Arabidopsis thaliana: one gene and its partners. The main gene of each other region encodes a partner of the protein of the gene in region 3 in a complex. Each region holds a gene or a part of one and is shown on either strand. Other genes may lie near its edges.

What was found.
Region 1: Tic32-IVa (region 3) and Tic20-II share a complex: the UniProt entries of both Arabidopsis thaliana proteins name them as parts of the tic complex.
Region 2: Tic32-IVa (region 3) and TIC110 share a complex: the UniProt entries of both Arabidopsis thaliana proteins name them as parts of the tic complex.

What each region holds. Positions count from the first base shown.
Region 1 is NC_003071.7:19,591,695-19,600,276, forward strand, and holds Tic20-II (putative conserved protein ycf60), read right to left. Parts: upstream 3,308-8,582; 5' UTR 3,264-3,307; coding exon 2,637-3,263; 3' UTR 2,493-2,636; downstream 1-2,492. Other genes in the region: AT2G47830 (Cation efflux family protein), read right to left, coding at 1-85, 164-226, 394-478, 622-718, 952-1,067, 1,297-1,412, 1,602-1,699, 1,782-1,851 and 1 more; AT2G47844 (uncharacterized protein), read left to right, coding at 3,599-3,745; AT2G47850 (Zinc finger C-x8-C-x5-C-x3-H type family protein), read left to right, coding at 4,259-4,346, 4,439-4,578, 4,908-4,970, 5,058-5,177, 5,253-5,540, 5,626-5,934, 6,027-6,425; SETH6 (Phototropic-responsive NPH3 family protein), read left to right, coding at 8,285-8,379, 8,443-8,582. UniProt on the Arabidopsis thaliana protein: May be involved in protein precursor import into chloroplasts. Not redundant with TIC20-I, TIC20-IV or TIC20-V.
Region 2 is NC_003070.9:2,127,117-2,140,053, reverse strand, and holds TIC110 (translocon at the inner envelope membrane of chloroplasts 110), read left to right. Parts: upstream 1-4,350; 5' UTR 4,351-4,490; coding exon 4,491-5,014; intron 5,015-5,097; coding exon 5,098-5,157; intron 5,158-5,242; coding exon 5,243-5,366; intron 5,367-5,472; coding exon 5,473-5,541; intron 5,542-5,635; coding exon 5,636-5,734; intron 5,735-5,863; coding exon 5,864-5,930; intron 5,931-6,248; coding exon 6,249-6,313; intron 6,314-6,390; coding exon 6,391-6,485; intron 6,486-6,915; coding exon 6,916-7,043; intron 7,044-7,116; coding exon 7,117-7,217; intron 7,218-7,358; coding exon 7,359-7,575; intron 7,576-7,881; coding exon 7,882-8,036; intron 8,037-8,190; coding exon 8,191-8,316; intron 8,317-8,422; coding exon 8,423-9,394; intron 9,395-9,502; coding exon 9,503-9,751; 3' UTR 9,752-10,001; downstream 10,002-12,937. Other genes in the region: CHX14 (cation/hydrogen exchanger 14), read right to left, coding at 1-477, 574-1,569, 1,694-1,945; AT1G06960 (RNA-binding (RRM/RBD/RNP motifs) family protein), read right to left, coding at 2,521-2,790, 2,908-2,987, 3,090-3,183, 3,467-3,639, 4,052-4,124; AT1G06930 (TPRXL), read right to left, coding at 10,382-10,891; AT1G06925 (endonuclease/glycosyl hydrolase), read left to right, coding at 11,443-11,474, 11,838-11,903, 12,017-12,350; AT1G06923 (transcription repressor OFP17-like protein), read right to left, coding at 12,656-12,937. UniProt on the Arabidopsis thaliana protein: Involved in protein precursor import into chloroplasts. Forms a voltage-dependent cation-selective channel at the inner envelope of chloroplasts, which specifically responds to a transit peptide.
Region 3 is NC_003075.7:12,223,575-12,233,969, reverse strand, and holds Tic32-IVa (NAD(P)-binding Rossmann-fold superfamily protein), read right to left. Parts: upstream 5,068-10,395; 5' UTR 4,800-5,067; coding exon 4,694-4,799; intron 3,949-4,693; coding exon 3,717-3,948; intron 3,641-3,716; coding exon 3,561-3,640; intron 3,444-3,560; coding exon 3,290-3,443; intron 3,216-3,289; coding exon 3,137-3,215; intron 3,053-3,136; coding exon 2,965-3,052; intron 2,849-2,964; coding exon 2,802-2,848; intron 2,660-2,801; coding exon 2,477-2,659; 3' UTR 2,252-2,476; downstream 1-2,251. Other genes in the region: AT4G23420 (NAD(P)-binding Rossmann-fold superfamily protein), read right to left, coding at 5,408-5,572, 5,740-5,786, 5,910-5,997, 6,088-6,166, 6,257-6,410, 6,511-6,590, 6,674-6,905, 7,577-7,660 and 2 more; TET5 (tetraspanin5), read right to left, coding at 8,764-8,797, 8,910-9,229, 9,385-9,876. UniProt on the Arabidopsis thaliana protein: Involved in protein precursor import into chloroplasts. Part of the redox regulon consisting of TIC32, TIC 55 and TIC62.

The DNA of each region.
Region 1 (8,582 bases), on a different chromosome or scaffold from region 3:
ACACTTCAGGATGGTTCAAATTAATCTGTCTCCGTACATATTCTCCTACCTCATGTGCGACACTCACACTGGAAAAAGGATCTACCTGTAAGGAAAAGGTGATAATGATTTATTTTATTGAGATAATTCTTTCTACTCTGAGGCAGAAGGAAGCAGCACTCACCACAATGTGTACATCAAGATACAACGATGAACCAGCTCTCCTACCCCTTAGCCGATGACATCCCTATGGATTAAGATTATCATGAAAGTCTTGATACTCATTCGCAAAATTAATAAGAAAAAACATGAAAGCATGCTTTCTCATTACAGATAACTGATTATAGAAAAGAACACCATAATGTTATATAGCAATTAGCAAGGTCGAATAGTGAAATATACTACAATCTGTACCTTCACTCCTTCAACCTGTAATATGGTTTGTCTTATTGGCTCTAATTGCTGAGCTGGTATAGCAGCATCCACGAGTTCCAAGATACTGAACAAAGAAATGAGATTTCAGCAATGGACATGGTGTTGGAACCAAAAAGACATATTTGTAACCATTATTCCATGTTCAAGCTATTACAAGTGTTGTATGGAGAAAACAAATCGAAAAAGCAACATATATAGCGTGAGTACCTTTGGTGTCCTGTTTTCAGTCCGGCATTGACAATCATTGTCGAGACAACAAGGCCAGCTAGAGGATCTAAAAAATTAACTCCGAGAATAGAACCTCCTGCACACAAGTCATATTTCACGATTTATGAGAACTTCATGTCTCCCTTTATCAGTAGTTCCGTACAATAGCTGGACCGATGAGAGAGACTTGGTAAAAGTAAATAAATGGAATTCAGAGATCTACATTGTCTCCAGTTCTTTAGTAGTAGCCATATGCGTGACCAGGTCTGGGATATTGAAACAAAGGATATAGTTGATTTACATATGTACTGATTGGAAAGAAAAGCTTACCAACTCCAACAAGTGCAACTAGAGAAGAAATAGCATCTGATCGATGATGCCAAGCATTTGCCATCATCAAACCACTCCCTTGTTTTTCACCTGCTCGTTTTGTGATCCAATAAAGCCTGAGAAACATAAGATTCAGGGATGAAGGATCAAAATAAGTGAAGAGAATAGGGATGAAGGATCAAAAGAAAAGGGGCGGTAGGTTCTGAGAAGCAAGTCTAACTAAAGTGAAAATTTGCAATTGTCTAGTAAGAAGCGACGGTAGAGCAAAAGCTGTAGACGTAAAGCAATGGGGTATGATAAACTTGATTGGATTGAAAAGAGTGATAAATAAAGTGATGTTTGTACCCTTCTTTGATAGAAATGGAAGCAATAGTAACAGTCAAAGCGAGAATGGGATGATTCATATCAATGCCGTGATGATGTCCACTATGAATTACCTCAGGAGCTGCGGACAGTGCAATCTGCAAATGAGAAAGGAAGGGAGAAGAACTCTGTAAATTGAATTTATTATATCCCAAATAAAACAAACAATGGAGGATCGATAAAAGATAAACATGAAGTGCAATATATTCTCATACAATGAAGCAAGGTTGTGGAGGTGGAGATGAGTAATTAAAAAAGAAAGAGAAAGGAGAGAGTGGTGGTCATACAGATAAAAGGTCTAAAGCATGCCAGGCAATACCAGAGCCAGTAGCCAAAAGCATGGCAGAGATGCCAAGTGCTCCAAGCGTTTCAAATTTACCATGACCTGCCCTTGTATGCATGGGGAAATTCAGTTCATTGTTATTATAATGTATTTACATCAAAGGAAAGAGAAGAGAAAAGGTAACCATAAGGATGTTCTTTGTCCTTGGGAACATTTGCAGCTCTGTAAGACACTAGAGCAACACCACTTAGAACCTGAGATATAATGATGATGATCATGTGAGAAACAAAACCAAAGGAAGGATCATCTCTCGTCCTCAGCAAATGAGAATTTTCATTACCACATCGGAAACGGAATGAGCAGCATCGGCGATAATGGCGGTGCTGCCGCAGAGATAACCGGTGAGAGCTTTTGCGACAGATAAACCTATATCTGCGGTGAGACCTAGCCGGAATATCTTCTCCCCTTCTTCTCCAGGCTTTTGATATTGCTGGTGATGATCAGGGTGACCAAAATGCCACCTTCTGGAGAAATCGAAACTAGGTTTTTGCGATGAAGAAGAAGATACTCGGAGTGGTGATGATGATGATGATGATGATGGCAGATAACGGCAAGACATATAATATATAGTAGACCTACAAATCCTCGTCGGATTCAGGATTTGAAATCTGATAATACCCATTTTGATTTCAGCTGAGAAACCCTCTCTCCCTCTTTTCTCCGATCAGTTTCCCAAATTGACTTCTCATTCATTGCGCGGTAAGATAGACGGCGCTCATTTTTTTACCGTTTACTTAGTTACCTTTTCACCGACGATTGTAAAATTATACTCAGTCAATGATAGCTTCATTAAAGGCCCCCCATACTGTTCTTTCATATTGGGCCAAATCAAATGTTGGGAGTATAACAAAAAATATTTTTTTTAAAACGGTAATGGTTAATTAACAACACTGATTGATTTGGTCTCTCTTATAAACCAGAAATAACCGATTCTAGAATCGAAAACCCGAACACTGAGTGAGGTAGATATTGGCCGGAATTAGAGTTGTCTACCGGCGGCATCAGCGACAAATGGAATGTATGGAGTTTTGCCGAGTAAGGAGCTGACGACTCCATACACAAAACACATAAAGCTGAAGACGAAAACCCCCGTGTGCCCCCACATCATCGCCTTCATTCCAAACCCGCCTCCTTGACCCGGATCCAGTATTCGGGTCAGCAGCACCGGAACCGCCAGGAGCACATCCAGCGTCACCGCCTGCATCGCGTTGAACCTCACGTACCTACTGAAACTCGTGTTCCTCACCACTCCCAGGTACAGCCCGAAGAATGCCACGAAGCTCGCGTACGGCACCGATCTGTACAGGTTCAGGATTGGGAAGATTGGCTCGAACAGCAATCCCAGCCTTGGGTACTGCGCGAACAGGAACCGCCCGTACTGCAGAGAATTGAAGAACGGCAGCGCGTACGACGCTATCGAAATCACGCGCTCAGTCGCCGGCGTCGGGGTGTAGGAGGCGCGGGTCGTCAAGGCGGTTGCGCGTCTGCTAGAGGGGCGGATCGAGAAGGTTGAGGATCCGGGGAAGGAGAGGCTGAGTGGTCTGCATCTGGGAGCCGACAGGGGATTAGTTAGGGTTTGGTGGAGAGAAAGGCACAGAGACGCCATTCTTTTATTTTTTTGTTTGGGATTTTCGCTGTTTAGTCGGCAGTGTCGATTTGTTGACAAGAAGAGCAAAAAAAAGTAACAGCTCAAACGCTGCCGTTTTCGAATCTAAAATTTGGCCCGCGCACACTAACAACATAATTGGGCCGACTTAGCTATATAAATGGGCCTATATATGGTACTAGAGGGCTTCGTGAACAACAGAAGGTTTTTGTGGCGCCGACAAATGGGAAGCGGAAACGAAGAAATGTGATGGCATTGATTGAAGGCGAGTCGAGTCGAGTCAGACTCGGTCAGAGCGAGTTGAGAGAGCAGTTAAGAAACAGTAGCAGGTAGAAATGACGGATGTGTCCCCACTTTCGGACCAGACCACTTTACTCCCCGAGTTAGCAAGTGAAGTGAGAAAACTGTCTGTGTGTCACATGTTGGCCACTCGCGCGCTATCCCCGCCCAAGGACCTTACCGTCATTTTGGTTGGAAACTAGTAAAAATTAGTTTATTTATTTTTTGTTTGTTGTTTTGTCAAGTAGTATATTTCTTGGAAATATCTTCCCTTTTCTGGGATGCTTTTACTTGGCGACCCAAGGACCAAGAGAGAACCAAAAATAAATCTCACAAAACAAATTAATACAAACTACTACTATATACTATTATTATTTAAAAAAGAATATGAGAAAAAGAAATTGAAAGCTAAAAAAAGAAACAGTAGTGCAGAGGGCAGACCGTACGGTATTCCTGAAGAGCGAAAGAAGAGAGAGAGAGAGAGAGAGACCGACCAAAGAAGAAGCTCCTCTCAATCACTGTCGAAGCATCTCTTCTTCTTCTTCTTCTTTTTTTCTTCTCTCTCAGAGCTTTTCTAATCGGCTTCTCCGGTAAATCTCTGTCGATCCACCGATGAGCTTTTGACATTTACTCTCTTATTAGTTTCTTCTAGTTTGGTGAGAGGAGTTTTTACTAGTATCTTTTTTACTGTACACCAAATCCCTAAATTTAAGGACATGTATGCTCGCAATCCTCCCCTCAATGGCTCACAATCTGCTCAAGCTCCCGACTGGACCCCTGCAGATGCCGATACCGGACTCCAAGGTCTCGCATGCGCTTTGATTCTCAGCAACTGTACGGTCTCTTTAGGGTTTCCGCTAAATGGCCCTGACTGTGCTCAATTTTGTGATTTGCAGAATCGATGTGGCGATTAGGGTTGGGTAGCGACTCGTACCCTGAGAGACCAGGTGCTCCTGACTGTGCCTACTACATGCGAACTGGTGTCTGTGGCTACGGTAATAGATGTCGTTACAATCACCCTCGCGATCGTGCCTCGGTAATTTCTTCCTCTCATTCATTCTTCTTTCTTATTATTGTTCTGAAACCATCCATACTAGGAGGACACAATCAAATGCTTCTCTCTGTTTTTTCCGCAATGTGGGTGATCACTGGCCTTATAGAGTCTCTCTAAACTGGGGAAATTGTTAAGCTTTACTGGTTTCAGTTGTTGTGCTTTACGTCACGTTTTTTTTTGTCTTATGCATTGACTCTACCCGGTGTTTCCCTGTATTTACTGATACCTTTGTATGCTCTTGTAAAAGCTTATCATTTTGTCATCTTAGCTTGGCCACAGTTTACTATTTTCTCATGTTGATTCATGTATAGGTTGAAGCAACTGTTAGAGCTACCGGGCAGTATCCTGAACGTTTTGGTGAACCCCCATGCCAGGTAACCCACCCCGACCAGTCATTTTATATGTTCCAAGTGATGAAACAAGGTTTTTTGTGATATTATTGATCTCTGCTTTCCTGGCAGTTTTACTTGAAAACTGGAACTTGTAAATTTGGGGCGTCATGCAAATTCCACCATCCAAAGAATGCAGGTGGATCCATGAGCCACGTTCCACTAAATATATATGGATACCCTGTACGAGAGGTAAGCTTTGTTTCCACTCATGTCAAATAAAAGGCTAGTCTCGAGTTTGCATGATCTTTTATAAACTCTTTGTAGGGTGATAACGAATGCTCCTACTATTTGAAAACGGGGCAATGCAAATTTGGTATAACCTGTAAATTTCATCATCCTCAGCCTGCTGGTACTACTGTCCCACCACCACCAGCATCTGCACCTCAGTTTTATCCATCGGTGCAGTCACTTATGCCTGACCAGTATGGAGGTCCATCTTCTAGCTTGAGAGTTGCAAGAACTCTTCTTCCTGGTTCTTATATGCAAGGCGCCTATGGTCCAATGCTATTAACCCCCGGGGTCGTTCCTATTCCAGGCTGGAGTCCTTACTCGGTGACCTTTTTTTTTATTGATGTATCATCAATACATTTGTTATTCACCACAGTCTCTTACTGTCTCACTTTTGCTTTTGCTTCAGGCACCTGTGAGCCCTGCTCTATCTCCTGGTGCGCAGCACGCTGTTGGGGCAACTTCTTTATATGGAGTTACACAGCTCACTTCCACCACTCCTTCGCTTCCCGGGGTTTATCCATCTCTGTCCTCTCCTACAGGTGTTATACAGAAAGAACAGGCCTTTCCAGAGAGACCTGGTGAACCAGAGTGCCAATACTATTTGAAAACAGGAGATTGTAAGTTTGGAACATCTTGTAAGTTTCATCATCCTCGAGATCGGGTTCCACCAAGAGCGAATTGCGTCCTCAGCCCCATTGGTCTTCCTCTACGCCCGGTATGCTCTGTGTTAATATGTCATAAAGGTTGTTGATCATAGTTATAACATTTCTGTCTCTAAATCCGTTGTTTATCTTGGGTTGAAAACAGGGTGTGCAACGGTGCACTTTCTACGTACAAAACGGCTTCTGTAAGTTTGGATCAACATGTAAGTTTGATCATCCAATGGGAACGATCAGATACAATCCTTCTGCGTCCTCTCTAGCTGATGCACCGGTGGCTCCTTACCCAGTGAGCTCTCTCTTGGGTGCTCTGGCAGCTGCCCCTTCTTCTTCATCGACAGAGCTCATAGCAGGCGGTGCAAAAGATGCTTACATGACCGGTGTGCCTACATCAAGAAGCACATCAAACATCTCGGCAGGTTTGATTTTCTCCCAGAGCGGTGGGTCAATTCCATTCTCAGAGCTGCAACTCTCGAGCCAGAGCTCTCTTCCTCTAACAGGTAGCAGAATCACAAGACAAGGGCGTGAAATTCGTCGATCCTTTTGAATAGATCACCTCAGAAAAGGGTACGCATACGCAGGTCCTCTGGATCACCTTTTAGCAATTCTTAATCTATATGACTATTATTATATAGAAGCATGTGATGTGAATTTATATATATAATCTTCGTACCTTGAGAAGAAGAAAAAGCCTATTTGAGTAGAAGACCTGAGTGAGAATCACATATATCTGAGAGGAAATCTATATGTGCATATACCAAAAAAGATAACAAGAAAAGGCTTCTTCTTTTTTTTTTTGGAATTTGTGTATAATGTTTGTATAGAGACAGACAAGGTTTCTTTGTCTTGTCCGTACTTCTACTTCAGACCCATTCCGGCTGAGACACAAAAACAAAAAAAAAAAAACTGAGACAAAGAACTCAATTCTCCTCTTCTTTTAGTCTGCCAATTGGTGTACTTCTCGTGTGTTAAGGTTTGTTCTTATTGTAGATGAATGATGTGTGTTGTTAATTTTGTTATGTTACTGCTTCACACATTACATGTGTTATGGTGATGAAACAACCTACATTTCAAGACTAGTTTTGAAGGTTGGCACCATTATCTTGAATATATTTATTTCCTTAAAAAAAATGGTTTTGAAATGAAGTTGAGCGGAAGCACACTAATCCTAGAATCGATCAATAGCATCGGGAAAGTGGTACAAAAAAAGAGACGAGAGAAATGATGGCCTAGAAACAAGTTTTAAAACAATATGGAGAAGGAAGTAATCTTTAGAGAAAACCCTACCTGAGAAAAGAAACTATCATGCTCAATTTAATATGCTTCGCCATCATTTGCTCTTATTTGCCTTCCCCACTTGTCTCTCTCTCTCTACACTCTTACTTTTCTTTTTGTCAAAAGCCCAAGGAAGAAGATGAAATCAACTAAACTTGGACATCCGGCTTTGGATTTGGATTTTGTAGAGTGGGAAATTGTAGTTTGTTGTGAAATCTAACAACAAAATATTTACCAAAATATAGATTTGCTTAAGTGAGATATGTAGTATTTTAATGAATTGCGTATTAATAGGTTAGGAGTAGTAAACTTTTTGTTTTTCTTGTTAACTCGTTTGAGCTACTTCCGGAATTGAAAAGAAAAAGAAGAGAGACATAGAGGTATGATTACAACCCCCAAAAGTAATGCAACCATTCACATTTCCTGCAGTATAGTTTTCTTTTAAAAAAAATATAAATAACCTGGTGTAAAATAAACAAAGAGAAGACACGATAAGAGACCTTTTTAACTTTTCACCGAAAAGCATAAGTAATAAACAGCACACTTAATTGACTTTTTACGCATATATGCATACATATATTGCTTTTCAATTACAAAAATAGAAAAGTACAGAACATTTAGCAAACTACCTCTGTATATATATTGATATCCTGTAAGAAAAATCTAAATATTATTAATATCACCTTTGAAACAAACCAAAAAAAGAAAGAAAGAAAGAAAGACATTTGTATCACCTGACGTGTGTGTGGACTGTGGGCTGAGATCATGTACTCATACAAGCATTCTCAGACTACCTATAGCAAGCGAGATTAGTGTCCTAATTCCCGGAGAATAAAGTTATATATATATATTCACCTAATTTTTTATTAGTATATGATATGCACATAAAGAACTGTTTATTTTTATGAAGAAAGTCATAATTCCACTTTAATCCTGCATGAATTCATGTGTGTTTTTAACTCTCACTCCATGGCACAATCTTTCATATTTGAAAAGCAGACAGAGAGAGAGAGCATTTGCAGCCGACAGTAAGGAACATTTTTGGGAGAAACACAAAAACATATTTGCAGTAACACAAAAAGAGGTTTACAACTTTATTTGGGGAGAAGAGATAGATAATAATAAGATCCAATGGGTGTTGTTACTGTTCCTGAGTCTAATAAGCAAAGTGTTGCTGCTAAAAGAGCGTTTCGTCCAAGTTCCAGTATCAGACACACTCCTCAATGGTACTCTTTCACTAACTCATCTCTTCTTTCCTCAAAATGTTGCTGATCTCTCTGTTGTTCCAGGCCTGTCTCGGACGTTACGAGTGACTTAACCATTGAAGTCGGCTCTGCGACCTTTTCCCTTCACAAGGTAACCAAATTCAATAAACTCAGAAGAAAAAAGAGAAACTGCTTTACACAAACTCGTTCTCTTTTGCAGTTTC
Region 2 (12,937 bases), on a different chromosome or scaffold from region 3:
GTCGAGGGCGAGAGTGCAAATGTCATCGTTGATGCTGGAGAATGGAGCTGCAGCTGTGAAATGCTGAGCCATTAGGGTTCCTTGGTTCTGCTGTTCGAATCGTTGGAAACCGTTGACGATGTGAGTGGATTGAACTGTGTTGGGATCGAGTTTGTTCATCTGATGATGCGGCACGAGCACGGCGTGCGCTCGACCTTTAAGCTCGACAAGGTGGAGTGTGAAGACAGAGATCGGGCTGAACCTACTCGGGTAAGAAGCTTCTAGAAGATTAACCATGGAAGGTACATTTTCAACGTTGTAGACACAGAGCAGGAGCCGGAACTGAAGGTTCCGTTGTCTCGTATCGAGGATCGTTCGCTTACTCTTGCTTCTGTAGCGTTTAGACGGGTCATAGAGGCAAACTACGAGGAACCGCGAAATACCTGTCACGAGCAAGAGCGTGATGATAAGGAGATTGAAGCATTCTGTGTTTAGAACCTGCAAAATATGAATGAAAAAGTTTGATAATGTGTTCATGGACCGATCTTATGTTTAGAGAAATCTGATCACACAAATGCAAACAAAACAATATACCTTTTCGTCTTTCCACATGACACATGTGTAAATCTCAATGACTCCTTGGCAACACATCAAGAGGGCCAAAGAAAATGCGTCTCCGATTTGTATGTTGCAATAAGCGGAAGCTGCTGCTGTTCCTAGGAATTTGCAGCCGTAGGTGATGAGTATAACGGCCTCAATGATCTTCACGTGGCTTTCTCCGATAATGAAGAAATTGGTCTGCAATCCACTAATGGAGATGAAACAAGGGAGCATAAGGCTCGTTGCAAACATTTCGAGCTTTGTGGTGAGCCCGGTCCCTAAAGGAGGTCCATCCGGGAGTGATACTCCGAGCCAGAACGCTCCAAACGCCGCATGGACCCCGAGAACTTCGGAGGTCAAGCTTATCGTCAGCAGGACCATTATGATCGGGAAGAATGGGATCTCGCCTGCTTTATCGATCGAAATGCTTCTTCTCTCTGTCAACCAGATGATAGCCGGTCTGCAGACGAAGAAAATCACGAGGATAAGAGCAGTCACCCAAACGAAAGACCAAACGCTAGCTAGTGTCCCATCCCGCAAGAACATTCTGAAAACAAGTGCAACTATCCAGCTAAAGGCCTCACAGACAATGGAGCAGTTTGTGGCTAACCGTCCAAGATCAGAGTTAAGGATGTTAAGCTCAGCTAAGACGGTTGTGGTGACCGGGAATGAGGTCATTGCATTGAGGGAGATCACTGTGCTTATGCAGTGGACAACGTCTGGCGGGAGGTTGTAAGTGTTTTTCAAAAAGAGGACAGTGAGGTTACCGAGGGAGAATGGCAAGGCGTAGGAAGCTGTGCCAATGAGTATGGCTTTGGAACCAGCTTTACGAATGATGCTAGCGTCGATTCTTAGTCCAAGTAAGAAGAGATGGATGAAGAACCCGAGGTTTGAGAGCGTTTGTAAAGTGATTTTGCCGCTTATGGGGAGGAACATCTGCATATATGCGCTGCTTTGGCCAAAGAGAGACGGTCCTAGGATGATCCCAGCCTGCGTTTAAAAATTTCGCAAAAAGAGAGAAATGAAAAGAGCTCCAGACTCCATAGACTAGTCTAAGTTTTGTTCTGAGATTCCTCGATTACAGAAAAAGAAAGAAATATAGACAACTTATTACCAAGACTTGGGCAGAGATCATGCCTTGCTTCAAGGGCTTGAGGAGGCGGTAGAGAAGCCTTGAGGTGATGATGATGACGGACATTTGCAGCAACATAAGTGGCATTGCGTATTTGAGAGGGTCACTGCCCAAGAAAACACCCTTTGAGGTCAACATGTGGTTTTTCTGGCACACCATGTTTTCCACCAAGAATGGCCCATGAACTTTGCCTCTCTGCATCGAGTTCACCTCCTCCAGGTCTAGCTTTGACATCGCTCTGTTCTTTTTGTGCGTACCAAAGACAGTGAGAAGAACGTGGAGGAAGAGAGATTTCTCTCTAAATATGCAGAACCTACTTGATGCCGACAGATGAGAATCTCTTAGTGAGAGATGAAGAACAAAACAGAGGACTCTGTTTTTATTTTGGGGAATTGTTGATTATCTTGCTATCATCAGATCTAGAATGGTATCTAAGTTTTGTTTAAAGGTCAGAGACAAAAAGGGAAGTGAGAGAAAAAGAGAGAGAGAGATGAAGCATATTTGTTGCCTCTATTTATCGAATGCGACTATTTTTTGGCTGGTTGATGTCAGTAACCCCATAATCTTCTCATTTCTAAATTCGTGGTTTTAGTTCCCCCAAAGTCCTAATAATAATAAGGCATTTAAAATGAGATTTTCTCCAACCAAATCACTCTCAATTCTTCGATCTCATTACATTCTGGTCTAAAGCTTCGGGGTCATTCACACCACTAATCGGAAACGAACCAAATAAAATAAGACAGTTTGCTTTTAAACAGCTACTAATTAGTATATCATTACCATTCATCCGCATAACAAAACTCTGGTTTTCACTTCTTGGCAAAAGAGACGACCATTGGATTCTGCGGAGTGATCTTGAAACCCTGAAGAGCCTGCATGGCCATGGAAGACTGAACATCGTCTTCATACTCCACAAACGCAATTCCGGGTTTTGCTTCGATCATTCTTATCTCTTTGAATCCTGGGTATTGCTCAAAGAGCAGCTGAAGCATCATACTATTCGTCTCAATGGGAAGATTATGAATGAAGAGTATGTTGTTTGGTGGCATCGTGTCTTGCCCACTCGGCTGGAAAGGAGGCTGTGAAATTACAGAGACGGGTATTAGGAAACAAGGATTTACAGACTAAGTTGCGATAATGACGTCTGTCAGAAGATAATATTGTATTGTTGGAATGATGCGAGAAAGAGAAATTGCCACAGGCATTCCGTTCTGAGTAGTTGCGCCATTAGGCATGCTTGGTTGTTGAGTTTCTTCAGCATGTCGCTTCCTTTCAACTGAAAGTGATGTGCAGTTTTGTTAAACATCAGATGCGAAGTAAAACACAGATGAAATGAGCTGAAAAGATCTGAACTTGTGATGGAAACGAAAGTTTAAACCTTTCTCTTCTTGCTTCATCTTCTTTTCTTTTGGAACAAAAGACCCTTCGGCTTTAGTAACATAATCTGACTTTGATTTTGCATATTGTATCCGCTGCACCCACAGAGATCACACATCACGATTTGAATAATAATATTGCATTTAGCTTTTTCTAGTCTTTTACTTAGTAATCACTTGTGTAATGATATACCCTCAACATCTAATGTCGTTGTACTTCCTTCAATTTTATATAACAACAAGTATCAGCAAGCAAACTCAATTTTCCCTCCAAGTAAATCTCTGCAACTTTCTAAGCTTATAGTCTCACATAACAAGATAAAATCATTTTTCGGTAGCGGGATAGATAAACCTGGAACATAAGAGAGGAAAAAGGTACCATAGGCTTATCATAGAAAGGAAAGTTCTGCATCTGACGGACAGCGTTGCTAGCAGCGGTGACTTCAGTAAAAACAACCCATGCTTGTCCCCGGAGCTTAGGAGTCTTTAACGCAACCACATCAAGTAATCTTCCAAACTGAGAGAACAAACAGTAAAGAGACCTCTTCAGCTCTGAAAAAAACAAGTGGAAACATTAAACAATGATCTGCTTGAACAGCATTACTCTTAGACAAACAAAAGCAGCAGCTAAAGAACTTAAGGTCATTGACTTCAATCAAACAATCTAAACAAATTTCATGGCAAAAGCAATCGCCTTTCCTACTTAATTACTTAAATAAAGCACCTTTGTTAGAGTATCTCTAGTTCAGGTCTATTAAGATTAGACAGAAATTCTAAATCCCTAATACTTAGAAAGATAACTCTAAATGCATCTAATCTAACCTTCGTAAACATCAAATTAAGCAACTTTAAACTCAGACAACTCATTCAAGAGAAGCTCACACAAGCATTACCAAGCTACTTAAGCATTGCAAAAACTCTTAGAAAATCACCGATGCAATTATATGAATTTCGTAAGCATTACCTTCTTTCTTGATCTTCTCATTGATATGTTTTATGTAGATTGACTGATTTGGTGGTATATCAGCCGTTAACATCTTTCAACTGAGCTCCGCGAAGACGACGATGGTCGATGGTCACAGCCCTGAGAAAATTTAGCGAGCCCTAAGAGCCAAGAAGAGAGAAGAAATCGTGGCGTTTCCAATTTACACAAGGCGTCTAATTTGTTTTTTTATGTAAACATCTTACCGTTACCGAAGAGTAAAACAACACGTAGTTTTATAATATTATTAAAAAACGTCTGGACGTTCGAAAGGGGATTTTGATGTTTTGTTAGGCCCTATCTCTTTCCCCTTTTCTTCGTTCGCATCTCTATCTTCTTCCGTTGTCTACTGTTTTTCGTTAAACCCTACGATTCTTCTTTTTTTCAACGACTGCTCGGATCTTTCTCAGTAGAGGGAACCATGAATCCCTCACTCGTCACCGCCATTAACGCTCCAATTTCACCTTCTCCTCGGTCTCCTCTTCTTTCTCACTTCCTACCTACTTTACCTCACCGTTTCTCCAAGTCTGAGTGTCTATCTCGCCGTCGTTATCGAGTTTCGTTCCCTCGTAGCTCAGCTGCTTCCTCCGACCAACTATCAGTATCTACGCAGGCGAAGAATCCCGGTATCCATGGGAATAAGAAGGAGCTCACTGGATTGCAACCGATTGTTGAGAAAATGACACCGCCGGTGAGGCTAGCGACTTCAGCTGTTGTATTAGCGGCGTCTTTAGCTACTGGTTACGGCCTTGGGCTCCGTTTAGCCGGCTCCAGGAATATTGCCTTTGGTGGGGCTGCTGTTGCTGGAGCCGCCGGTGGAGCTGTCGTATATGCGTTGAACTCTGCTGTACCGGAGGTAGCTGCTATCAGTTTGCATAATTATGTTGCCGAATTCGAAGATCCTGCCTCTGTGACGAAAGATGATGTAGAAAAGATCGCTGATAGGTGAGTGCTTCATTTAATTGTCAATTTGTGTCTGGGATTTATAAACAAAAGTTTGCTTAAACGATCCTTCTTATATGTTGCAGGTACGGTGTCAACAAAGGAGACGAAGCATTCCAGGCTGAGATTTGTGATATTTATTGCCGGTGAGTCAACAAAGGATACTGTGTTCATCTTTTCTCTTAGTGTGGGGAATTCATTAGTAATCTTTGCATCTTAATCTTGATTTAGGTATGTAACTTCCGTGCTTCCAACTGAAGGACAGTCTCTTAAAGGGGATGAAGTGGCGAAGATAGTCAAGTTCAAAAATGCTTTAGGGATAGACGAACCTGATGCAGCTGCCATGCACATGGAGGTGCTTTCTAGATTCTTAATCTTCATTTGAATTAGCCGTTAGCCTTTTTGTAGTTGATGCAGAAGGATCTTGATTGCTGAATCACCAATTCCTTGGTTTTGTTTAGATTGGTCGCAGGATTTTTAGGCAAAGGCTTGAGACTGGGGAGCGTGAAGGTGATGCAGAACAGCGTCGGGTGAGTCGCCAGTCCCTAGTATTTGTTAAGTTTATTGTAGGATTGTTCGAAAGAGAGCACAAGCGTGATCACAAGTTGTATGCTTCCAGTGCAGGCATTTATGAGGCTTGTATATGTTTCAGCTCTTGTGTTTGGAGATGCTTCATCCTTCCTTCTACCTTGGAAGCGAGTATTGAAGGTCACAGATGCTCAGGTAGGCATTTCCAATTTTTTTCATACTTCTGATTTTGCGCAATAGTTGTTTTATGGAAGTTTCATTTTGGCAACTCACTCCTTCTTGGTAATCTGAAGTTCTGTGCTAATGTCTTGACCTCATTTCTAGGTTGAGATTGCTATTCGTGAAAATGCAAAGCAGCTGTATGCCGAACGGTTAAAATTAGTTGGTAGAGGTAATGTTGTTCATGTTTTACATTTTGAGATGGGAAGTAATGTTACATTTGTAGAACGGGTTTGAGTTTGCTTGACTTGGTTATATTGATTATTGTGGCACTTCTTTGTCCATTGGGTTTTGTAATATTCGTTTATCAGCAAGTTGTCTGAATACCAACCTTAATTGTTACTTCGCATGCGACTGTAATGGTCCCTTCTCATTTAACATTGATAATAGATATGGCTTTTTGACAACCAAAAAAAGATATGACTTAGCTTTTTCGTCAGCTTAATGCATGGAAACTTACATGGTTATGTTTCTAAACATGTTCTTGCAGATATTAACGTAGAAAACCTTGTGGACCTTAGAAAATCACAACTATCATTCAAGCTCTCTGATGAGGTACTCTATTTCTTTGTGGCATTGACTTCCTGCTATCTCTGGTTGTACTTCTTCTGACAGTTTCTTCTCCCTCATAGCTTGCTGAAGACCTGTTTAGAGAGCATACGAGAAAAGTAGTCGTAGAGAACATTTCATCGGCACTCAGCATACTCAAATCCCGCACACGAGCAGCGTAAATCATTTTAACATATTGCTTACAGAATCATGCATAGAAAAATCGTATAGAATAATCATTATCCATGTGAACAGTTTGGTTACACATTTAACTTTTTTATTTCTTATACCAATGAGTTATGACTTTAGCTGGGTATATGTATTCCTTTGCTTGAACATTGAGTTTGGTCGGGTTGAAAAAAGAGATTGAAGTTTTGGCTTTAGTTTTGAGTTTTGGTTATTGCAAAAACTGATTGGTCATATGATCTCTTTTGCTTTTGTGAATTGTCTTATAGTATAAGTATTTAAAAAAAAGTCATGAGATTTTAATTTTATAGGCGTTTTTGTATCTTGTGATAATTAATAGTGGAAACAAATTGGATCATCTAGTATGTCTAGTTTATAGTAGTTTACAATGCATGTCATTTTAACGACCTGATTTTTTCCAGGAAGAGTTTGGCATCTGTCGTGGAAGAGCTTGAAAAAGTACTGGAGTTTAACAACCTGCTAGTTTCCTTGAAAAGTCATTCAGAGGCAGATCAATTTGCACGCGGGGTTGGCCCTATTTCTTTGATAGGTGAAGATGCTTTTGACCTTCTCTTTTCTGAAGAAAAATTATTGGCTCTCAACCTTGGATCTATGTGGCTTAGGTGATGAGTCTGATTTTGAGAGGAGAATGGATGATTTAAAGCTCCTTTATAGAGCATATGTTACAGATGCTTTATCTGGTGGGCGCTTAGAAGAAAATAAGGTATACTCAGTTTTGTATAAGATATTATGTACTAAAGCTTAGTTGCAAGTTTTTTTGAGAGTAAGTGTTTTCAGATGCTGTGTCCTCTATCCCAGTCGCATGTTTTTTTCCATTTCTAATTGTCTTTCTACTGTATGGTAGCTCGTGGCAATGAGCCAACTTAGAAACATACTCGGTCTGGGAAAACGAGAGGCTGAAGCTATTAGTGTTGATGTTACGTCCAAGTCTTACCGTAAAAGACTTGCTAACGCTGTTTCTAGTGGTGACCTTGAAGCACAAGACAGTAAAGCAAAATACCTTCAAAAGCTCTGCGAAGAGCTGCACTTTGATGCACAGAAGGCAGGCGCAATCCATGAAGGTATAAGCCGAACCTTCTGTTCACAATGAAATCTTATGTTTTTATGTTATGCATGAGGTATACAGTTGGAATTGCCACATAATCGCCCAAATGTAAGATGTGTCCATGGGTATCAATTTAGTTGATGGCTTGTAAACTTGCGGGTTCCTTATCCTTTTAAGCTAGCTTTTAGTGTTGTAGATTTGGTTCTTAACAGACTTCTAACAAGTCTGGTGTTTCAGTGGGTTACATGCTGTTATTTTACAGTTTGAGTATCTATTTGGTCTTTTTTTCCCAATCATCTGACAAGCACCTTCTCTTCCTCAGAAATCTATCGGCAGAAGCTTCAACAGTGTGTTACTGATGGAGAGCTGAGCGATGACAATGTTGCTGCTTTATTAAGGTTAAGAGTTATGTTGTGTATTCCCCAGCAAACTGTTGATACAGCTCATGCAGAAATCTGTGGAACCATATTTGAAAAGGTAATCCAGTTATCACCTCCCTTTTCCCTTTATCAAGGGTTTTTTCATGGTCTTGGGTCTTGGCACTGCAATTTCCCTCTGCTTCCCTCTCTGCCTTCGCATTTTGTTACCAAAAGGTTTTACCTCTAATTACCTTTTTGTTTAATCTTTCCAGGTTGTCAGGGATGCCATTTCTTCTGGAGTGGATGGTTATGATGCTGAAACTCGCAAATCAGTTAGAAAGGCTGCACATGGTCTTCGGTTATCCAGAGAGACTGCCATGTCTATTGCTAGCAAAGCTGTGAGTATCACACTATTTACTTTCTCCATGCTTGGTATTAGGATTTGTTAAAATTTTCTGACTTCTCATAGCAAGACATGAAAATCAAATCCCTTCATTGATGCAGGTCCGTAGGGTTTTCACAAACTATATCAGACGAGCAAGAGCAGCCGAGAACCGTACTGATTCAGCAAAGGAGCTCAAGAAGATGATTGCTTTCAACACGTTGGTTGTGACTGAAATGGTGGCTGATATCAAGGGAGAATCTTCTGATAAGGCACCTGAGGAGGACCCTGTTCAAGAGAAAGAAGAAGATGATGAAGATGAAGAATGGGGATCCCTTGAATCGCTCAGAAAGACAAGACCCGACAAGGAACTCGCTGAGAAAATGGGAAAGCCTGGCCAGACTGAGATAACTCTCAAAGATGACCTTCCCGACAGGGACAGAATAGATCTCTACAAAACATACTTGCTCTACTGTGTAACTGGAGAGGTAACAAGAATCCCTTTTGGCGCCCAGATCACAACAAAGAGAGACGATTCAGAGTACTTGCTTCTAAATCAGCTTGGTGGGATTCTCGGATTGAGTTCGAAAGAAATAGTCAACATTCACGTAGGTTTAGCCGAGCAGGCTTTTAGGCAACAAGCTGAAGTGATTTTAGCTGATGGGCAATTGACAAAGGCTAGAGTAGAGCAGCTAGACGAGTTGCAAAAACAAGTTGGTTTGCCTCAGCCACAAGCCGAGAAGGTTATCAAGAATATAACCACCACAAAAATGGCAAACGCGATAGAGACCGCTGTTAACCAAGGAAGACTGAACATAAAGCAGATACGGGAGCTCAAGGAGGCAAATGTCAGCCTGGACAGCATGATCGCTGTGAGTCTGAGAGAGAAATTATTCAAGAAGACAGTGAGTGACATCTTCTCATCAGGAACTGGTGAATTCGATGAAACCGAAGTCTACCAGACAATCCCATCCGATCTCAGTATTGATGTGGAAAAAGCCAAAAGAGTTGTCCATGATCTCGCTCAGAGTAGATTATCGAATTCGCTGGTCCAAGCCGTGGCATTACTCAGGCAGAGAAACTCTAAAGGAGTGGTATGCAAATCATCTTTTCCCTCTCTTATCGTGACAGAAAACATGGATATTTCAGCTTCTGGGTCTAAATTGTGTATGTATGTATGCTTTTTTTTTTTGGTTTTACAGGTCTTGTCGCTGAATGATTTGCTTGCATGTGACAAAGCTGTGCCGGCTGAGCCAATGTCATGGGAGGTCTCAGAGGAATTATCTGATCTATATGCTATTTATTCAAAGAGTGATCCCAAACCCGCACCGGAAAAAGTTTTGAGGCTACAATATCTGCTGGGAATAGATGATTCAACTGCAACTGCCCTCCGTGAAATGGAAGATGGAGCATTATCTTCTGCTGCAGAAGAGGGCAATTTCGTCTTTTAAATCTTTGGAGAAATCACTTGAGTTATTATGTATTGTGTTACGGCCGAGGGTGGAAAAATGATTTTGAATTTGAAATTTGACCAAAGTCTGTGAAAATTTTGTATCAGAACCATAAACTTGATATGATTAATTTGAAAATCTGCAAACGAGAAGTGTATCCCTTATACAATTTAGAGCGCAGCTTTGAAGTGCTCATGTGGTGTCACGTGACGGGTGTTCCCGCATAACGAACCTAAAAAATAGAATAACAGTTAATTCAATCATTGAGAACTTTTTTTTTAATGAAATGATTTGACCGTAACACCGTAAGTGAAAGTTAATTGTTAATTCTATGGTGGTCTCACATGACTGCACACAACTAGAACAATACTCAACAATCAACATGTATACTAGATCTGATCTCGTTATAGTATGTTTTTGTCGAAATTTCTAATTATACAAAAGCACGTCTTTTAAAGACAAAAATAGAAGCCATATGATCCAATCAATTGATTCATAGAGATGATGATATGAATCGATGAAACATAGTTTTTAGAAATTATTTCCAAGATTACAAAAAAAGAAAAAAAAGAAGTGAAAATTAATAAGAAAATAGGAGAGAGTTAAATATAAGAAAAAAGGCAGAATCATTTAACATGATCTGAGCAACACCTTGACAAGGGAAGCGTAACATCCAGAAGATTTAGCACTATTCGATCCGTAGTCTAAACTCGAACCAGATTCAAACCACATTGATCTTCTTCTGTTGCTTAAATCAGATGTCCTCAATGGAGAAGATGGAACTGAAGACGAGGACGACGAAGAAGAAGAAGCCGGAGAAGATGGCACACTACGATTCTTGGAAAGCAAGGAACTAAAGAGAGTGTTGGTTTTTTTAGGGCTTACGTGTTTTGTAGAGGATGGAGAAGCGTAGAAGTAAGAAGGAGGAGGTGTTAGTGGTGCTGAAACCGGAAAATTGAAATCAGAATCAGAATTGAAACCGGAAGAGGAGGATCGTTTGGAGAGTCGTCTTGGAGTTCCGGGCTGAGATTCCCATTTGAAGGGAACGGCGGCTGATGATCCACCGTAGTAGTCGCCCTCGACGGCCACAGAGAGGATCAGTTTGGTCGTGGAAACCCTAGAACGATCCAGCTGAGGCATTGGACACTTTGTGAGGAGGTGACTTTTCTTTTCCGGGTTTGCTCAACTATACTATAAGAGAACTATGAAAAGAAAGAGCCTTGAGTCTCTTTTTTTTGTTTTCTTACTTTATTGGGTGAACTAAGAAGATTTAGATTCAGATTCAAAAGTTTTGAATTGTTTGTGTTCTTATTTTATTATATAGTTTTGAATGAGTAAGAAGCAATTTGATAAAATATTGTAGAATCTCGAGGTGTGATGCTTCTGGGCTCTGCTTCTTGGAAGCCACTGAGAGTATTATCCTGTTCCAGATCATCTGATCCAATTATAACTTCCAAGACACTTGGTCGATCCTACCCCTAGAACTCTGTTTTGTGAGTGATTGTTTGATTTCTCTACTCATATCTTTTATTTTAGTATTAGAAAACATATTTCTAACATTTTAATTATATAAGTTATAGTTATAACATTTAATTAATATTTCATTCTCAACGTACGTTACAAAGTTACAAAACTACATTTAAGAAATAGCATAATTAGTAAGAAGATCACAATACTAGCTTTCTTGCTACATGAAGTTAGGCTGCTACTCAGTTTCGGTCCTGTAAAATCAAGGTCCAAATACGAAAAAAAAATCTGAATCTTTTTAAAAAATTTAAACTTGCAAAAATCTTTTTTTTCTTCTCATAATTATGAAAATTATTTAAAGAGTTTTCAGAAAGTAAAAATAATATATCCGAGACATGCAATCCTATTAGACTTTGAAAGAGTTTTTTCAATGACATTGTATGATGTAAAAAATACTAACATAAACGATCACTACACACAAGAAAAAAAACTTTAAAAAATACACTAGAATTGGTGCACGGGAAAGGCCGATTGAAAATAATCTAGGCCCATTAAAGCGAAGCCCATTCTCAACCCTATATATTTGCGGGGTTGATATTTAATTTTATCTTTCAATCAGGGATTTCGAAACCGAACCGACTCTGCTTATCTCTCAGGTAAATTTCTCTGCTCCTTATCTCTTCATGTTTCTTTGCAAATTCATCGACTAATTGCATAGATAGCCTACAACTTATATATATATATATATTCTGAATTTGTTTTTTTCTTTTCTTACCTTTAAGGCCTTGAATGATGGAGGGAGGCAGCTGTGGCCACAATATCGGTCTATTGGGAGATAAAGGGGTGTCCGGTTCCGGATGGCTATGATGCTCTTCGGGTAGGTCCGTCTATAAAACGTAATTTGAGGAAGTTTAACTACACTGGCCCTATCACCATCACTGCCGTTGGCGTACTATCAGAGGTCCCTCGAGATTTCCTTGAAACCACTGGAGAGTGGAGTCAGTCTCTTTCTCAAGTCTTAGTTGTTTCTGAAACAGGTCCCACATACATGGTTTCGCTTTTCATTGACTCCCCTGATTCTAAGATTCCACGTCCACATAATACCTATGAAGACGACGAGGCTCCCCCTTGATTATTTTCCGGAGAAATAATGCCTACTACCATTGGTGAGGGAAGAAGCAACCAAACCTTGAGATTTCTCATCTTTTGAATTCTGGGGTTTACCGGAAATCTTGGTAAATAGAAATGTGAAATGTACCATCCTTTAATAATCTTTTCTTATTATCTTTTATTTCCGTGATTTAATGTAGTAAAATCAAGTTCCTGTCACTTGAAGTTGTACAACTTACAAAAAAAAAACAGAACACAGAGAAAGCTACTCTGTATCCAATGCTCTGTGTTATCATGCATATATTATAAAACCCATTTCAATGATCTTTAATCGTCATGGTCGCTTGGAAACAGGTCAGTGCAGAGCTCTCCATAGAATCTAGTCACAAGATCAATGAAGATTGGACTATTAAGATTCTTCCAATAATAGAGAAGCTCTTCCATGTCCATCAAGTCATCTATTTTCCCATCTTCAACGAACATATGGATCATATAGTTCTCGAATCTTCTGCAAGCCTCTTTCACACCATCTTCCTTTAACATATGTCTTTGACTCGTCCTCGCTTTCTTGTTCCTTTGCGTCATAGCCAAAGGAAACATCTTTCTTGA
Region 3 (10,395 bases):
AAAAGTAAATTAATTCATTAGCTAGATAAGTAAAATCAAAATTTTGGTGCTTAATTGGTATTAGTCGTGTTCACGACCAATGCTTTTGTGGGGATCAATGATTGAAGACGTAGACCTTCCCATGAACGTAGTTCAATTATCTATCTTCCCAAGCAATAATTGAGTTATTAAATAAACTCCACTAAATCAAGTGTAGGATATAGCCATGCATGTAACAATGTAAGGAAGATATATGAACTTTTGTACATTTTTAAAGTATTGTGGAAGATATATATACAATTATTTTCATCACTATATATAGAAAAACTATAAAACGAATAATTTGACCTGGTTTTATACACCGAAATCTACCCTTAGTTAGGATTTATAAAATTTGATAATTAACTAATGTCCACCACCCTAACTCGAATCTTGATAAGCTTAAGATGGATATAAATTAAGATTCAAATCAATAATAGTCATTGATAAGACAATAGTCTTGTGTTTGACACCATATGTTTTTTGGGGGTAACAAACAGCTCAATGATATGCATTGTTTTTATGGTACACCGAATGATGTTCGATGTTTCCTTGGTTGCTTCCAAAGTCAGTCCAAAAGACAGTTTTGTTTGTACATGCTCACTCAATCCCCCACGTGTCCTCACGTGATATCAACGTACGGTCCTGATGGCCTCATCACTCCCTTTTCACACGTTTCATCCACGGCTCCGAATTATCGCCTCTCCAACACCTTTTCAAGAGATCACATTTGCTCTTTTAGCAGAAAAATGGTCTAATTTAGAGAATTAAAGTCCAATTGTGAGGCCCATCCTTATGAATTAGGAATTGAATAGAAGGAATAATTTTGATTTAGTTTCATGTAGACACTATTTCCTTATGATTTAGCTTTTGTTTGACAAAGCAAATTTTGTCAATGATTGAAAGATGAGTCAATTATGAAGCTTAAATATATGTGAATGATAATTGTAAGGATTATATGGATTTTAGTCATAGTGATAACAAAGATCACTTGGCCACATGTTTTGGTTATTTTTGAAAACTTTTTCTGTTGTTGAAATCCTGAATATATGCATGAAATCGAATTTTACCACATTACGGAGAAGAGCAATTATTAAAGTTGAATGTGTACACAGCAGAAAAATACAAAGAAAGCGTCCAATCTGTACATGTACTACAACATGATTGACTTTTTGGTAATGATAGAATAAAAATGAATATGTAATTCAATGTTACCACAATTTAATTACTTTGTAGTACCACGGATTAGTTAGATAAAGTAAACACAAAGGTGTGAACTTAGATCTCTTTATAAGTGGTTTGGTGGCTTCTCAGAGAGTTTGAGAAACATTACCATACTCTTTATTAGTCCATCCCCCAACCATTCATATACGATTGTGTGATATATGTTCTTTTCAATATAGTTATATAAATTTTCTCAAATAGAATGTTACAAACATATTTGATTAGTTTTGTTGTTGCTGATGATGACAACTAATTTTGACAATTTCAAAAATCATTTGTTGTTGTTGAAATTTCAGTCCTTTGTTGCTCATCATAGTGTAAGTCTATCAACAACAGTAAAATGAACAAAAATCTTTAGTATCGTATTATATACTATATTAGGTCCATACATTTTTACGAGTTAATTTGAGGTATCCACATCCATACACACAATATCTCATATTGGAGCATGTGATTTTTCTGCAAATAGTTTGTACGTACAATAGATATGATTGTGAACAATTGTAAAATAGTCACAAATAGTAGTACTCTAGTACTTGGCCACATTTCAATAATCTTTAGTGATCAATCTTATCACCCTAAGATGAATTTTTCTTTTTTGTTAAATATCAACATATATAGTCCTAAACCTACATTGAAATTTGCTCTCGTTATAGTTTGAAATTTATACAATGCATATCATTAATAGCATTGTTTGGTCCAAATCAAATAAATATAAAAACAAATGCCATCTAACGACCGACAATTATATATAGAGGGTATGAAATGAATTAAATACAGAGCCTATCTATAACACTCTATATCGACAATTTGCACGTTATGATCCAAATTCCAATCACAAAGATTAATTAATTACTTAACCTTCCTAATGAAACCATTAATAAAGTGAGTTTAAACTAGAAAACTATCATCATTGATTTTTATTTTCATTTCTGACCATCACTTTAATAATGCATTGACAGTATTGTCTCCTCGTGGCTTCTTCTTCTTTTTGAATTCGAAAGTTGTCTTTAAAATCTTCTGATACTTGATTACAAAGCTTTTTTACATTTTCTTCTGATAAGTGTTTGGTGAAGGTTTAGAACTAAACCGGTCAGAATAAACCATCTTATTGCAGATTTGTTATACGTTTTTATTTCCTTTGATAAAGACTGAAATAAGTATTGTCACAGTAGAGATAAGAGACGTTGAAACATGAAACCATTAGTAAAGATTCACTGAACATCATTTACTTTCAAGAACTGCTTTCTCCTGATTGTGAATCGGTAAGCTTGGTGCTGAAATCCCAAACCTTCTTGGCCAATTCTGTATCTTTGACAAGTGGTAATGGTTTAGCAATGTTGCTATCTTGGAAGTATTCCCCTGAAACTCCTGCAACTTGAGGATTCAATGCCACATAGCAAGTTGTTGCCGCTCCCTACAAAGTCGTATACTCAGACATTATAAACCACATAACGGAACAAAACCAAGTTTTATCCTTTAAGCAAGATCTGAGAAACCTTGTGACCAGTTTGTAAGTGATTGGTTACCAGTGTGAGGCTTCGAAATTAGAAGCATACCTGTGGAACAGACTTGAGTATATATTTAGCCACTGCACCAACCGCTACTGCATCAAGCCAATGCCAGAGAGGATCAGAAGAAGTATATGTATGCGTTTGTTTACTTGTGTGTAACCTTGTGAAGTATGGGGTGATGATAGTGGAATAAGAGAAAAGAAGTTACCAGCCAAATAGGGGTTGAAGTAGCGCCCGAGGTTAGTCATAATGGCTCCTGGATGAAGCGAATTTGCTGTTATATTGACTCCATCTTCCTATTTTATTCATACCAGATTTGAATCAATATAACCATGGAAACATAGATTTTGATTTGATAGATCTCTTGTTTTTCTAGTTACCTTCAGTTGCTTTGTAAGCTCGTTGGCGTGCAACACATTGCAGAGTTTAGATTGTCCATAAGCTCGCATACTACTGTAACTGCAACGGAGACCAAACCAAGGAAGAATGTTAGATTTTGATAGAAGAATTACTATTTGGTTCACCATTAGTACCTTGACTTGTCATTGATCTTATCAAAACGAACTCCTTCTGGATACGAGAACCGATGAGCTTCTGATGATAGGTTAACAATTCTTCCTTCTCGTTTGCTTTCACGTGATGTGCTCTTCATTGTATCTAGCAGAAGTTTAGTCAACAGAAAATGACCTGAAATAAAGTGGATCACAAATTCCATGCCACTGACTAAAAACTAATGATGATGTTAACTTAAGTATATAACTTTAGAACAAAGCCACATAATGTTGGTTTACTTCTCCTACTCACCTAAATGATTGGTTGCGAATTGCAGCTCGATGTTGTCCTTAGAGAGCATAAAAGGACATGCCATAATCCCGGCATTGTTGCTTACAAGATTAAGACAATTCAAAACATTAACCATCAATAAATCAAAACCGCTATATACAGTATTCAATAGCTTACATCAAGAGGTTGAGTGGAAGACCAGTAGATTTGTACTCAGACGCAAATTTCCTGACAGATTGCATTGAGCTGAGATCTAACTCCATGACATCGAGTTTAGCTCCAGGGACTTGCTTGACAATATCTTCCTTAACTTTAGCACCAGAGTCAGTGTTCCTCACCGCCATAACCACATGCACACCACGCAGTGAAAGAACACGCGCTGTCTCTACTCCTATACCACTTGATGCTCCTGAAAATATGAACACAAAGACAAGAAAACTTAAGGAACCAAACATGTCCAGAAAACTCAATGCAGGCTAGACTACTTTTTAAAGTTGTATCAACCAATGATCAGTTAAGCTCTTCCAAGCCTTTTCAAACCCTGATAGGCTATTAGGCTGACTCAGGGTTTGCCCAATCGATGCTACACTCAAATATGTATGTGCAAGTCTTTAGTGTCACCTAACAGGGTTCTATCAATTCAAGGACTCCATTGTTCTTGTTTCAGGCCCTAATGTAATATGATCAAAATATAGAAACGATTTCTACAAGCAAATCTGTATTTTTTCTTCCCTTGGCCAGGAATTGTATAGAGTTGTGATATATAACACAACTTACAAGCAGCTGAAACAGAGACGAGTTATTTTCCCTTAACATGCAATTATACATATGGTCCCAAACTTGTTGTACTTTAAAATTCACCAAACATGGAATTTTCAATCCAAATTCTTGAAAAAAAAGACAACTTTCGAACAAGAAACAGTGATGACCTCAATATTTATTAGAGTTGACCGAATCAAAGACAGACCCTGATGATAAAAACCTTAAATTCCAATTGTCTAAACAATAAAAGTCAAGTCTTTTTACTAGATATGAAATCAATTCGAAGACAGAATCAGAGAGGACAAAAGTTCTGGAAATTATAAGAAAAAAAGTCTACAACTTTAGACAACCCCATGTCGCAAAATGGCATGAAAGTGTTGATAGAAGAAAACCTGTGACTATGGCAGTGAGACCAGTCCCATCAACACCATGTGTGACTTCCTCTGCAGTTGAACGAGACGAGAATCCAGATGCTCCTTTCGATCCAAAAAACCACATCTTTCAGCTTTTTTTGTTTCTGCTGGAGAAGATGAGAGGAAAGAAGTCCAATAAACACAAACTATGGGACTTGTTAGCGTTTTTCTCTTCTTGAGTGGTCAAGCGATTTCGCTTTTATTCTGATTTAAATAACTTTATTTGTTCATATGTGACAGAAATGTGATTACTTTACTTTAATCCTCATGTCTCACGAGGTTGAGGTTGAAGTGTAGAATAGTGCATCTCCAAAGTCAAATGATGGGGATTTATTAACAACTTTCTTTTTAAAGGATTTAACAAATGTCCTTAAAATAGCTCCCACCAATAACATGAGTTAACTCCAAAATCAGAAGATGTTTTAAGCTCTTTCTGTTTGGTTTCTTACTTACTTATGTCTACGAGTTAGTTCACTAGACAACTGTTTTGAGTCAATGAGAAAACAGATAAGTAACACTTTTGTTTAGGCTGAAATTGGATAAACCATCTTTTTGCAGAATTGAAATGGAAATGATTTCAGATTTGTTTTTTACATTTTATTTTGTATCAATAAAGACTGAAATAAGTATTGTCACAATAGAGACATCGAAAGTAAAGGTTCCCTGAACAACTATCTACTGCAACGGTAATCATCATTGCGAATCAGTAAGCTTAGTGCTGAAATCCCAAAGCTTCTTCGCCAATTCTGTATCTTTGACAAGTTCTATTGGTTTAGCAATGTTGCTATCTGAGAAGTATTCCCCTGTAACTCCTGCAACCTGTGGATTCAATGCCACATAGCAAGTTGTTGCCGCCCCCTACCAAGTCGAATACTCAGACATTATAAACCAGATTACCAACAAAAACCAAATCAATCCGTAAAGCTAGACTGCTGTATCATTCTCTCCTACTTAAGCTGAGAAACCTAGTGACAAGTTTGCAAGTGATTGGTTATTAGTGTGAGGTTCAGAAATTAGATGCATACCTGCGGAACAGACTTGACCATATATTTAGCCACTGCACCAACAGCTCCTGCATTAAGCCGGTGACAGAGAGATCAGAAGAGACTCAAAATATATGTATGCGTTTGTTTACTTTGAGTGTAACCTTATGAAACATGGAGTGATGAGAGTTGAATCCGAGAAAAGAAGTTACCAGCCAAATAGGAGTTGAAGTAGCCCCATAGATTTGTCATAATGGCTCCTGGATGAAGTGAATTTGCTGTTATATTGACTCCATCTTCCTGTTTTTAATCATATACCAGAATTGAAGATAACCATGGAAACATAGATTCTTGATTTGCTATATCTTTGCTTTGTTTAGTGTAGTTTACCTTCAGTTGCTTTGCAAGCTCGTTGGCGTGCAATACATTGCAGAGTTTAGATTGTCCATAAGCACGTATACTACTGTAACTGCATGTGGAGACCAAATCAAGGAAGAATGTTGGCTTTAGAAGAAAAGATGGGATCGGAGAATTATACTATTTGGTTCACCATTAGTACCTTGACTCGTCGTTGATCTTATCAAAGCGGACTCCTTCTGGGTACGAGTAACGATGAGCTTCTGATGATACGTTAACAATCCTTCCTTCTCTTTTGCTTTCACGTGATGTGTTCTTCATTGTATCTAACAGAAGTTTGGTAAGCAGAAAATGTCCTGAAATGTATTTGGATTACAAAAACCGTTGCACTGATTAGAAACTAATTATATAAAATGTAGGACAAAGCCATAATGTTGGTTTGGTTATCATACTCACCTAAATGGTTGGTTGCGAATTGCAGCTCGATGTTGTCCTTAGAGAGCATAAAAGGACATGCCATAATCCCGGCATTGTTGCTTACAAAATTGAGACAAGTCAAAACATAAACGTCAATAAATCCAAACGGCTATAGATGAACCACGATATTTCAATAGCTTACATCAAGAGGTTGAGTGGAAGACCAGCAGATTTGTACTCAGATGCAAATTTCCTGACAGATTCCATTGAGCTGAGTTCTAACTCCATGACATCAACTTTAGCTCCAGGGACTTGCTTGACAATATCTTCCTTAACTTTAGCACCGGCGCCAGTGTTTCTCACCGCCATAACCACATGCACACCACGCAGTGCAAGAACACGAGCTGTTTCTACACCTATACCACTTGATGCTCCTGAAAAAACATGAAAACAAACAAAACAAAACTTGAGGATCCAACATGTTCAGAAATCTCACTTTCTTAAGTTGTATCAACTAATAGATTAAGCTCGTTCCTAGCCTTTTCAATACCCTGATAGGCTGATACAGAACATGTGCATACTAAACTACATACTCAATCTAACCAAAATAAGGAAGCAGCACTTCACAAAAGTATTGAAACGAGATCTACAAGCAAATCTTTTTTTTTTCTTCCTTTGGTCAGAAATTGTATAGTGTGTGATTATAACATAACTTAGAATCAGCTGAAACAGAGACAAGTATGTATATATATGTAACTTTCTAATAGCACATGTTATTTGCAGATCAAATGGTCCCAAACATGTTGTACTTTAAAATTCACCAAACATAGCAATCCAATTCTTGTGAGCAAAAGCTTGTTACTTATTGGCAAAAAAAAAAGACAAACTTTAGAACAACAAACGGTGATGACCTCCATATATTTATTAGGGTTGACCGAACCAAAAACAGACCCTGATCATAAAAACATCAAATTCCAATTGTCTAAACAATAAAAGTAAAAAATCTCTACCCTACATATGAAATCAATTCATAATTATAGAAAAGTCTACAACTTTAGACAAACCCAAGTCGCAAAAGGGCATGAAACTATTGATAGAAGAAAACCTGTGACAATGGCAGTGAGACCAGTCCCATCAACACCATGTGTGACTTCCTCTGCTGTGGAACGAGAAGAGAATCCAGATGCTCCTTTCGATCCAAAAAACCACATCTTTCAGCTTTTTTTCTTCTGGAAAAGATGTAAGGAAAGAAGAAATTAACACAAACTCTGAGATTTGTTAGGGATTTTCTTCTTTAGTGGTCGAAGGATTTCGCTTAAGTTCTGATTTTAATAATTCATATGTGACAGAAAAGTGTGATTACTCTAATTGGGAAGGATAAATAATGACGAGGAGAGAATCCTCGCTTCTCACGTGGAGATTTGATTAGAAGATTGCATCTCCAAAGTCAAATTAACAACCTTCAATAAAATAGCTCCACCAAAAACGTGAACAATTAAAGAAAGACCTCAGATGTTATAACAGTTACCAGAGAGCTAAAAAGATTGAACTATTGCGGATGGAATGGGCCGCGCGAACGCAGCCCCCCAAGGCAACAAATAATGACGCAGGATCTCCCACTTGGCCATTTGGGGAAACCTTAGGCTTAGCGCACCTCAAGTGCAGGAAGCCACTAGCCTAGGCCATGGGTATTCATGAACAAAAGATTGAACTACTGGGAATGGTAGGGGCTGCGCGAACGCAAACCCCCTCTGCCACAAATAATGACGCAGGCTCTTCCACAAGGGAAGACCTTAAGCTAAGCACCCTTCCGTTATGTGCAATGGAATTCACTAGCCTAGGCCACTCGTCTTCTTGATCACGAGTTGACCCCGTCCAGGTAAGTAATTTGCAAGCTTCGACCATGTTCTTTATTTATACTATGTCACAGACGAGTATCCATCCTCAAACTTCCGATGTGGGAGAAGCGATTATTGCCTTCAAGGCAAGGCTTCGTTACTCTAGTTCTATACCTTTGTGGGCCTCCTCAATGACTAATGTCTGGCCCAAAGATAACCCATTTGACTACCTAAAATAACATTTAAAATAATGTTCCATAAACATAAAACATTTAGCTCTTTTTTTTCAATTTCTTAACTCAGATTTTGTGGATCGGAAGTGACTAAATTTTTTTTTCTCGAATTAGAAATTTCATTATAAAAAATTTATGTTCTGTTCAAAATCAATAATTATATATTGGAAACCAAAAAGTTGAACCGTGATATTCGAAAACATTAACATAAATATTTTTCACTAATACCGATCTCTCCCATGCCACCACCTTGACCTACATGCCGCGAAAATAATAAAAATAATTGTTGCATTAGAAAAGAGAACAAACCTATAAACGTATATTCAATGAAAAAAAATATTGTAATTCTCTAAGCAGTTAATCTCACCAGGACTGTTCCCATCCAGGTCTGGATTTGGACATGCCGTAACGTCCATAAGGGAAGCCGTAATGTTGAGGGCGTTTGGCGTTTTTAAACGCGCAACAGCCAACACAGTAAACAGCTATGAGGAAAATAACAACAATGACGTTCACTAGAGAGAGTTTGTGCCAATCGCGACGTACAGTCTCTAAAACGCCAGCTCTACACGTGTCACAATCATAGCAGAGCACCGTCGCTGCGTTGTTCCACCGGTAACAATCAGGGTCTTGTTGTATCACCGTGTCCGTGTTGTAAACGCACGACGTCGGTGGTTTGCAGCATCCAGACTGTTTCCAAATATCAGAATATTTCAATTACTCGAATTATTATTAGCATGTAATGTTTAGCACTAGCTTATTTTTATGTTACAAATCTCTAAATGACTAGCTAGTTTACTAATTTTACTGATTATGAAAAAAATTGGAATGATTATAACGAGTACCTGAAGAGGAGATAAGTCTTTTTGGAGATAATCAAGAGGAGTCCAAAGAGCGAGCTTGGAACAAGTGACTGAGCCCAAGAGACAAGTCTTTATAGTAACCCAATAATTAGTATCTACCACCCTTGTCTTAAGCCAAGGGTGATATGCTTCAAGCTTAAACTCTTTATAAACCCTACCATCGACAACCACACCACCACTATGGCTAGTCACTATGAATCCAAACAAGGTCAAACCCATGAGTGCGACTATGATGAAGACCATGAAGAAGAGGTACACCCACAAGACCCAAGCCACGTCACAACATGCACCGACTAGACCAGCTACTGACAAGATCAAGATAGCTAGGCCTAAGATCAAAAGTGGCTTCTGAAGAAAATGCTCGCATGTCGTTTTGCTCCTACCCATCCATAGAGCTGATCCTAATAGAACTATGGAGGAAATTAGTGTTAGGATATTCAAGAATCCTATCACTGTATTGCTCATTCTGTTCATTTTCCTTCTCTCTCCTTTTTTATTTGTTACTAGATGATTCTTTGAATCTTTTGTGTGTGTATGTGTGCTGAAAATTCTTGCTGGCTTGTCTCTCTCGATATATATCTTAATCACATATCATTCAGCTACTTTATAGTAGTTGAGATTTTTATACATTAAAAACAATGTTGTTGATATACATTCACACGTATGACTGAAATACAAAAAACAAAATCTTGACAAAACAAAAGAAAAAGAAAGTGGATGGAATTATTTTGTTATCTTTTTATCTAATTTCTTGGTGTGTTTGCTACTTTTAATGTGATAATGTATGCGTCTTCACTTGCTTTAATCTCATCACTTTTGAATTTTGATGAGTGGCTTTACCTTTTTTCGCAATTTATATTTAAAAGTTATGTATTGTTTTTTTTAAAAAATAATTTCCTCGATTTGGATATTTGAAGCTTTGTATCATATGAATTCAAAATGTTGGTTTAAGAGTATTTTTCGTAAATGTGGGCTTTTTGTTTTTTGGTTGGA